Schizosaccharomyces pombe: one gene and its partner. The protein of the gene in region 1 interacts with the protein of each later gene in a pairwise test. Each region holds a gene or a part of one and is shown on either strand. Other genes may lie near its edges. The genes, in order: cyc2 and sec18.

Region 1 (3,444 bases):
CACTACTAGATGGGCCGTTGATTTGTAAAGGTGAAGACAAGTCGTATTCCACTAAAATTTATCCTTTTTTTAAAAAATAAATTTCAACAGTAACTTTGTAGATTTTTTTTAAAATGTCTCCGAAGTCGAAAAGCACAAATAAGACTTACACAATTGTCATCAAACTTGGTAAGCACGGAATAGTAAGCTATACAAAAGCATATGTATGAATTTTATATCTCACTTTTTCAAATATGTATTTCTTTGTTTGCTCGTTGTTGGCATCACAAACGCTTTGCTAACATTATTTTAGGCACATCGTCAATTTGTGATGAAAAGACTCATGAACCATTAATTTCAAATTTGTCACTAATCGTTGAAACCGTTGTCAAGCTTCGAAAGTTGGGTCATAATGTCGTTTTGGTTTCAAGTGGTGGTATTGCAATGGGCCTTCGTAGATTAGATTTACCTAAGCGTCCTTCAAAGCTTTCTGCTGTACAAGCAATTGCCGCGGTCGGTCAAGGAAGACTAATTTCCTTATGGGATACCTTATTTACACAACTTCGTCAGCCTATTGCGCAAGTTTTAATCACTAGAAACGACATTGCCGAGGTAAGATTCAGATAATTATTGTTGACACTTAAAAAATTATTTTAATTACTGACGGGTACTAACTATTAATATTTAGAGATCCCAATATGTAAATGCAGCGAACACAATTTCCGAGTTGCTACATTTTGGGGTAGTTCCCATTGTAAATGAAAATGATACTCTGTCTGTTCAAGAAATCCGTTTTGGTGATAACGATACTTTATCGGCAATTACAGCTGGCATGATAAACGCAGATTATTTGTTTTTACTTACAGATGTTGATTGTTTGTATACAGACAACCCACGTACCAACCCTGACGCTAAGCCTATTTTAAAAATTCATGATACATCAATGGTAAATGCAAACGTTTCCACACCCGGTAGTGGAGTTGGAACAGGGGGAATGAAGACGAAATTGATCGCTGCAGATTTGGGAACGTCTTCAGGCGTAAATGTTATAATATGTCGTGGTTCTAAACCTTCGAGTATATTCGATATAATCCGTCAGGAATCCTCTGATAATAAAAATGAGTCAGTTGAATTACCTCTGCATACCCACTTTGTAGCCAAAAAGCAAGGAAGGATCCGTGATCGACACTTTTGGCTTTTGCACGGCCTTAAATCACATGGGAGTTTGGAAATTGATCGTGGGGCTTTCGAGGCTATAACCCGTACAAATAGAGCAGGATTACTACCAGTTGGTGTAACCAAAGTACATGGCCATTTTTCAGCTCACCAAGCAGTTACGGTTATTTACAACGGAGAGGAAATTGGCAGAGCCCTTGTTAATTACAGCAGTACTGAAATAGATTTGATTAAAGGCAAGAGAAGCAAAGAAATTGCATCCATCTTAGGATATAACGAAACTGAATATGTCGCCTACAGAGACTATTTAGTAGTTCATGGTTTAAATTCTCATCATGATTCACAAGTTAGTTCTGATGAGCATTGATGTATATATTTAATCACTAGCTTATTTAGAACTACTAAAATTTGTTTTTGCTCTGTTTTTTACCTTTATTATTGGCTTACTGTTATTGAAATTTTTTTGTTATAGAAGGAAGGTTTACGAACTTAATATACAAAAACAGAACCATAAATATCTATTAGAAAATTTATTAAGATTTGTTTATTTTTGTTAAAAAACTATTAACCTTAGATAATAATCAGACGTTTTGTACTGAGTTGTGTAATTAACAAAGTACATTTTGTTGGTATTATATCGGATACTTCCTACGAAGCCTGTGATTGGATTTGGCTTTCATAAACGATGAATATAAGTACACGCAATTCCAACCTCCCCTTGATACAGTAAAACTTACAAAGAAAACAATGAGTAGCTCGACTTACAGGAAATTGCCTAAAATCTTAGCTGCAGGTCTTGCTATTGGTTGCGCAGGTGGTTATTATGCTTATAAAAATTCGAATAAGCCCCCAGGACTTAATCCCGAAATTTATGCTCCATTTACAGTTAATAAAATTACAGAGCTTACATCCGATGCTAGCTTGTTTTCGTTAGTTCCTCAGAGCCCTTCTGAACACCTTACTACTTTGGAACCGATTGCTAAGGTAACAATTCGTGATCCCAGTATGCAAGTCCAGAGACCATATACCCCTTTGTACTTGGATGCCAATGAATTAAAGTTCTTTATTAGAAAGTATGAAGAGGGTCCCGTTAGTTCTTATATTCATTCTAAGAAAGAAGGGGACACTATTGAACTTCGGGGTCCTTTTAAAACCACCAAACTCGATTGTACGAAGTACCCAAGAATCGTAGCTATCGTTGCAGGAACAGGAATTGCTCCTATATATCAATTAGCTCAGTCTGTTAAATCCCCAGTCGATATTGTATACTGCTCAAGGCCTGGTCAGCCCCCTTTGCTAAAAGAAGAATTGGAAAAGGAATGCCCAAACGTAAGGGTGAAGTCCGTCCAAAATCGTTTGGTAAACATTCATGACATTTTGGATTGGGATAATGTTACAGTTCCTTTAAAGGATACCCTTTGCATTGTCTGCGGTAGCCAGAAGTTTGTTTCTACAATTGCCGGACCGAAGGCTGATTATGGCGCAAGACAAGGAGAAGTCAAAGGACTTTTATCAAACAATCCGTTTGGGAAAGTTTGGAAGCTTTAGTTTAGAAATTTTTGGCTTAAGATTTTGGGTTGCACGATCTTTGGACAATTGTGCATAATACAAAAACGATTTTTTTGTTTATCTTCAAATAATTTATTTTTACCGATTTGGAAATAAATTTATACAAATAAGGGAACTCTTAAACGTTACGTGTTATCAATGAAATGGAGCGGTTTTCTTAGGTAATGGAGAGAAAATAAAAAAAATAGTATTTAAAAAGTTTCTAAGTGTATAAATTTTTATCCATTAAATCTAATTGTTATTGAGGGTTTATGCATCTGCTGCTAAGCAGGTATAGTATGTCAAAAAGAAAGCCCATACAAGCAAAATATCTTTAAATAATTAATTGCATAAAATGTGAACGAGGGAAAGGTTCATTTTCAACTCGCATATAAACAAGCATTAATGCAAAAACTCATCAACTGCTTCACTAGTAATATCTTCAGAATCTCTAGCTTCAAATACTTTGTGCACCTGCGACACATCTTGAAACCAGACTTTAGCAGAAGCATAAATCATAGATAAGTCATTTGGGGTAGCACTTGGTCTCCAGTATATCATAAACAATGGAGTACTAAGTCGACCATCTGTGGTTTTGGTAGGATAGGAAACAAGGATAAATCTAGGATTTGTTTCCGAGAGTTCATCTGCGACCTCTTCAATACTCTGTAAATCCATGATTTCTCCATCGGGAACAATCTCCTTAGTAGCTTTATCAACCTTGAGAATGAAAGCATACAT
Region 2 (5,092 bases), 2.7 Mb from region 1:
GTCTTGCTTCGCTTCCCTTTATTTAGCTTACCTTGAAACCCAGGAGTCCTCAATGACAGCATGGGCAAATAAACACAAGCACGTTGCCCTCGAAGAATTGCTCGTTTACAAGAAAAAAATTCCAGTCATGAAACGGAATTATTTCGCAGCTCGGCTTAGATATTTTTCTTATATAGTTTTGCCAATAAGTGTTTCTACTTATGCTCCAAGCAACTTTTGCTTTTTGCCCCGTCTCGTTTCTGCTCTATTCTGCTTGGCTTGGCTTGGCTTTGCTTTGCTCACCAAATTTTGAGAGCGAAGCTTGTTTCCTCAACCCAGCTTATATATATCAAAAAATATATTAAATAACTACACTACCAATTTAGAAAAATGATAAATCATAAGGCGTGAACCAGGAGAGAAATACAATATAATTGGCTCCTTCACAAGCTAGCTTCGATAAGGGTGGGAAAAGCCGAAAGTTTATGAAATTAAGGTCGATTTTCTATATACCATATGATATTCGCCAGACGATTGGTACTTGAAGTAACTTATGTGTCAAAAAGAGCAAGCGTATTGAATCTGAAATCTGAAAATGACCACTTTCTAAGCAGGCCTAGAATATCCGAGTCACTGCCAACATCAGGGGAGGTGGGGATAGCTAAAGTACCTGCGAAACTTGCAAGTGCGCTGCCGCCTTACTCAGTCTTTGCCCCCGTTTCCCTTAGCTTTGTAAGAATGAATTGCGGATAACGTTAGGACAGTGTAGCTCGGGATAACTAGTTTGCCTGTAAAAGAACAAATAATCATTTGTAAGGGACCTTCCTTCCAAGTCATCAACACTCCATCCCATCTTACCTCACTTTCTCCTCAATCAGATTCAAGAAATGGCTGGCTTCACTTGTGACAATAACAGTGACTCAGGTGAGATATCGAATAAAATTCCATTCCCTAATAATCGCGTTTGAACATTCGCGAATCCTAGATTTTGGTCTATTTACCGTTATCATGCCAATTGAAAAATTTGTGACAGTATGACAGAAATCCGTTTCGTTATGTGAAAAAGGTGACATTAGCAAATCAATGGCCGTTTATACGACAGCAAAAACTCGGTACGCTAATCATTGATGAAATGGAAATCAAAATTCAAGACTTTGCCTCAATAACATTCATTAGAAAGGTGTGTAAATTTTTTAAGGAGACGAGGCGCTGAAAATTTTTTTTTCTACTCCTACTATCAAAACTTGCTAACACTTCCTCCAAACACACTCTTTTTTAAGTAACACTTTTTTTTTATTTCTTATTTATTTAATATTTTGAGTGGATGATCACCCGTATTCGGTTAGTAAAGTGAAGCTCAAAAGAATGATGCGAATCTCGGCAATTAGCGTCAAGCGGCAACGTCTATAGCGGTCGTATAGCTAAGCTAAACAAGAAGCGAGATCTTTCCAATACGGATGTCATTAAGCTACCGATTCTTAAAGCGAAGACATTATCACTCATGACACATAAAATTTTTTGACGTTATTATACGTTTAATAATGAATAAAATAAATTTATAAATAAAATAAAATATATAAATATACAAAAGGGGGAGGGGAAATCCCTTCAATAAACGACAACAACAGTCTGCAAGAAGGTTTGTCTTATTGGAAACAGTTTTCCTATCTTAGAAGGCTGCTAAAAAAATAGTCACTTGCATGCTACAATAATTGCACGCGTAAAGAGGCTTTTGCAAGAAGAGAGAGAAAAAAATTTTTTTGCCAAATGTAAATTGGGAAGTAACATGGCTTCACTACATCTCGTCCTAAAATATAACGACATTGGAAATTTATGGCTTAATTATGATTACGCAATCAAACGGTAAACGTATACTTCACTATTCGCTAATCTGTATTTCGTACTCCGTTATATTATGTTTTAGTAGTAGGTGGAAAGCGTTACGTTTACTGAAAACGATTTTCCATTAACAAAGCACTCAACAATGGACTCAAGATGGAAACTTCCATTCATGTCCAATAAAGGGACACCAGAGCAACCTATGAGGAAACCACTAAGTGGCAGTTATTCCCATAACAGTGCTGGTCCTACACCCAATATGAGCCCCTTTGAGCAAAAACCACCGCTGCCTACACATATGGATGTTAGACGCCCTTCAGGTCCTTTTCGGATCGTCAAGGCGACTTCTACCGAAGATGCTTTAACCAATTGTATCATTGTTTCTCCCATGGACTTTAAGCAGCAGTACATTATTGTAGACAACTCTCGTGTGTTCAGCACTAAACCCGTTCCTGGCTTTCCACAGGGTTGTCTTGGCGCTTCCCAGCCCCATCGCGAATGGGCTTCTTGGTCGCTAAATCAGCAGGTTCATGTTGCCGACTATGATCCATATGGTCCTCATGGAGCTCCTTATCTTCATAGTATGACTTTGGAGGTAGACTTTCAAAATAGAAATCGCACCACTAATGAGCCTTTCGACGGTGAAGAGATGGCCAAGTTATTTTGCTCTAGTTATCAGAGCCAAGTTTTTTCTCCGGGCCAGAAAATTGTTTTCGATTTCCGTTCTTACAATATAAAGGCAACCGTCCGTACTATATCTTGTGTCGATCTTTTAATTGGTGAGAATCAAGATGCCGAAAATACTGCAGATACCAGCAAACGTGGTCTCTTGACTTCCCAGACCGAAATCCAATTTTTTAAAGCCGCTCACTCTGCGTTGCGTTTGAAAGCTAGCATGACAAGACCTGCCTCTAATGCCATTCTTCAGCCAGGCTTTAAATTTGAGGACATGGGCATTGGTGGTCTTGACTCAGAGTTCAGTGCTATTTTCCGTCGAGCATTTGCCTCTCGTCTCTTTCCTCCTGGCATGGTTGAAAAGCTGGGTATTAATCATGTTAAGGGTATTCTCTTATATGGCCCTCCAGGTACTGGTAAGACATTAATTGCTCGACAAATTGGTAAAATGCTAAATGCCCGTGAACCGAAAATCGTTAATGGTCCTGAAATTCTAAACAAATACGTCGGTCAAAGTGAAGAAAACGTTCGTAAATTATTCGCCGATGCTGAACGTGAGTATCGCGATCGCGGAGAGGAATCGGGTCTTCATATTATTATCTTCGATGAATTAGATGCCATATGTAAAAAGAGAGGAAGTTCTGGTGGTGATACAGGTGTTGGCGATCAGGTCGTTAATCAGCTTTTGGCTAAGATGGATGGCGTTGATCAACTGAATAATATCCTTGTTATTGGTATGACTAACAGAAAAGACATGATCGATGAAGCTCTTTTGCGTCCAGGTCGTCTTGAGGTTCATATGGAAATTTCACTTCCAGATGAACACGGCCGTTTGCAGATTCTGAAAATCCATACGTCCCGTATGGCTTCAAATGGTATTTTAGAGAATGATGTTGACATGGAAGAGCTAGCATCTCTTACTAAAAACTTTTCTGGTGCTGAAATTGCTGGATTAATCAAGAGTGCTTCAAGTTTTGCTTTTTATCGCCACATCAAGGTGGGAACCACTGCCGCTGTTTCAGGTAATTTGGAAAATATCAAGGTGAATCGTAACGACTTTTTGAATGCTTTAAGTGAGGTAAGACCAGCTTATGGTGTGAGTGAGGAGGAACTCGAAAGCCGTGTGCAAGGTGGCATTATCAATTTTGGTAAACACATTGAAGAAATAATTACCGAAGGAAAATTATTTGTTCAACAAGTTAAAAACTCCGAACGTACACGTTTGGTCAGTGTATTATTGTCAGGCCCTATAGCGTCAGGGAAAACTGCATTGGCTGCCACGATAGCCCTTGGTTCTGAATTTCCATTTGTTAAGCTCGTTTCCGCTGAGTCCATGGTAGGAATGAATGAAAACGCTCGAGTAGCTCATGTCAATCGTGTGTTCGAAGACAGCTACAAAAGTCCTCTTAGCGTCATTGTAGTAGATGAGATTGAACGTATTATTGATTGGGTACCAATCGGACCTCGATTTTCTAACACCTTACTTCAAACACTTATGGTTCTTTTCAAAAAGCAACCCCCCAAGGGTCATCGATTGCTTATTTTAGCAACTACCTCTGAACGTACTATGCTCTCTCGAATGGATATGACCCAATCGTTTGATGCAGAAATAGCAGTTCCTAATGTCTCCAACGTTACTGAACTGGACCGCATCATACAATCAATAGATTCATTTGCAGACAGCAATGTTCGAGCTGATACATTACAACGTTTGCAGAACTTTACTGGTACTGATGCTGTCAATGTCGGAGTAGCCAAGATTCTTATGATAGCCGAAACGGCTAAACAGGATGTAGACGTTGTTTCCTGTTTTGTTGAAGCCATGGCCCGTGCTATTCCTATGGAATAGCAATGACACCTTTTTAATAACTGAGACGTTTTAGTCATGAATATTTTCTCAAGGTTTTTTATATTTTATACCGTTATAGATTATAGTTAATGAATACACCGCAATACTGTATGAATATTAAGTTAAAAGATGTTCGAACCTATATGTAACGTTAAAAAAATTAAATCATCTTGTTAAATGAATGCTTATCAATATAACTTTATAGCCTTTTATAGTCAATTATCCATAAATAATCATTTGAAGCATTGTAAACAATTTAAGCATACTACATTACTCCCATACTGAGAGGCACAATTTACCAATTCGCTATTTCCACTCCACATTGACCCGGTTCATATTCTAAATCTTTAATTTCATCAGTCATAAATAGTAAAGGACATGGAAATTTAAAAATCGTAACATTCAACTCACATACTTAATTCTAAAATGAATATGCCCTCCGAAATACTACTTGGTGCAAGACGCTGGTTTGCTTCAACATCATTTAGTCTAGCAGCTGTATATGATGCTCCACTTAAAAAAGCTATAGGAAACATTAAAAAGTTTTCGATTGGATCATTAGGTTTAACTTATATGATTTCTCCAGTGATGCTTTTACTTGATGCAGGAGGTTTAAGTTTGGGAACGAGAATGTCGATGGTTTTCTTGGGTATGTTTCATCAAGAAATCGGATTACCAAAATTTCCAAAGCAAATTTATTAACATGTTAGCATGTACTACTACTAGTTTGTCGACTGCAATAATTCACTG

Evidence for each region.
Region 2: the proteins of cyc2 (region 1) and sec18 interact in a two-hybrid assay, tested with the Schizosaccharomyces pombe proteins (one large-scale study listed by BioGRID).

Annotation. Positions count from the first base shown.
Region 1 is NC_003424.3:2,025,422-2,028,865, reverse strand, and holds cyc2 (cytochrome c-heme-linkage protein Cyc2), read left to right. Parts: upstream 1-1,864; 5' UTR 1,865-1,902; coding exon 1,903-2,703; 3' UTR 2,704-2,911; downstream 2,912-3,444. Other genes in the region: pro2 (glutamate 5-kinase), read left to right, coding at 114-168, 293-591, 668-1,522; actin regulatory protein gmf1, read right to left, coding at 3,106-3,444.
Region 2 is NC_003424.3:4,717,988-4,723,079, reverse strand, and holds sec18 (secretory pathway protein Sec18), read left to right. Parts: upstream 1-1,944; 5' UTR 1,945-1,963; coding exon 1,964-4,342; 3' UTR 4,343-4,567; downstream 4,568-5,092. Other genes in the region: pex7 (peroxin-7), read right to left, coding at 32-62; SPOM_SPAC1834.13 (uncharacterized protein), read left to right, coding at 496-732; SPOM_SPAC1834.10C (uncharacterized protein), read left to right, coding at 4,769-4,991, 5,053-5,092. UniProt on the Schizosaccharomyces pombe protein: Required for vesicle-mediated transport. Catalyzes the fusion of transport vesicles within the Golgi cisternae. Is also required for transport from the endoplasmic reticulum to the Golgi stack.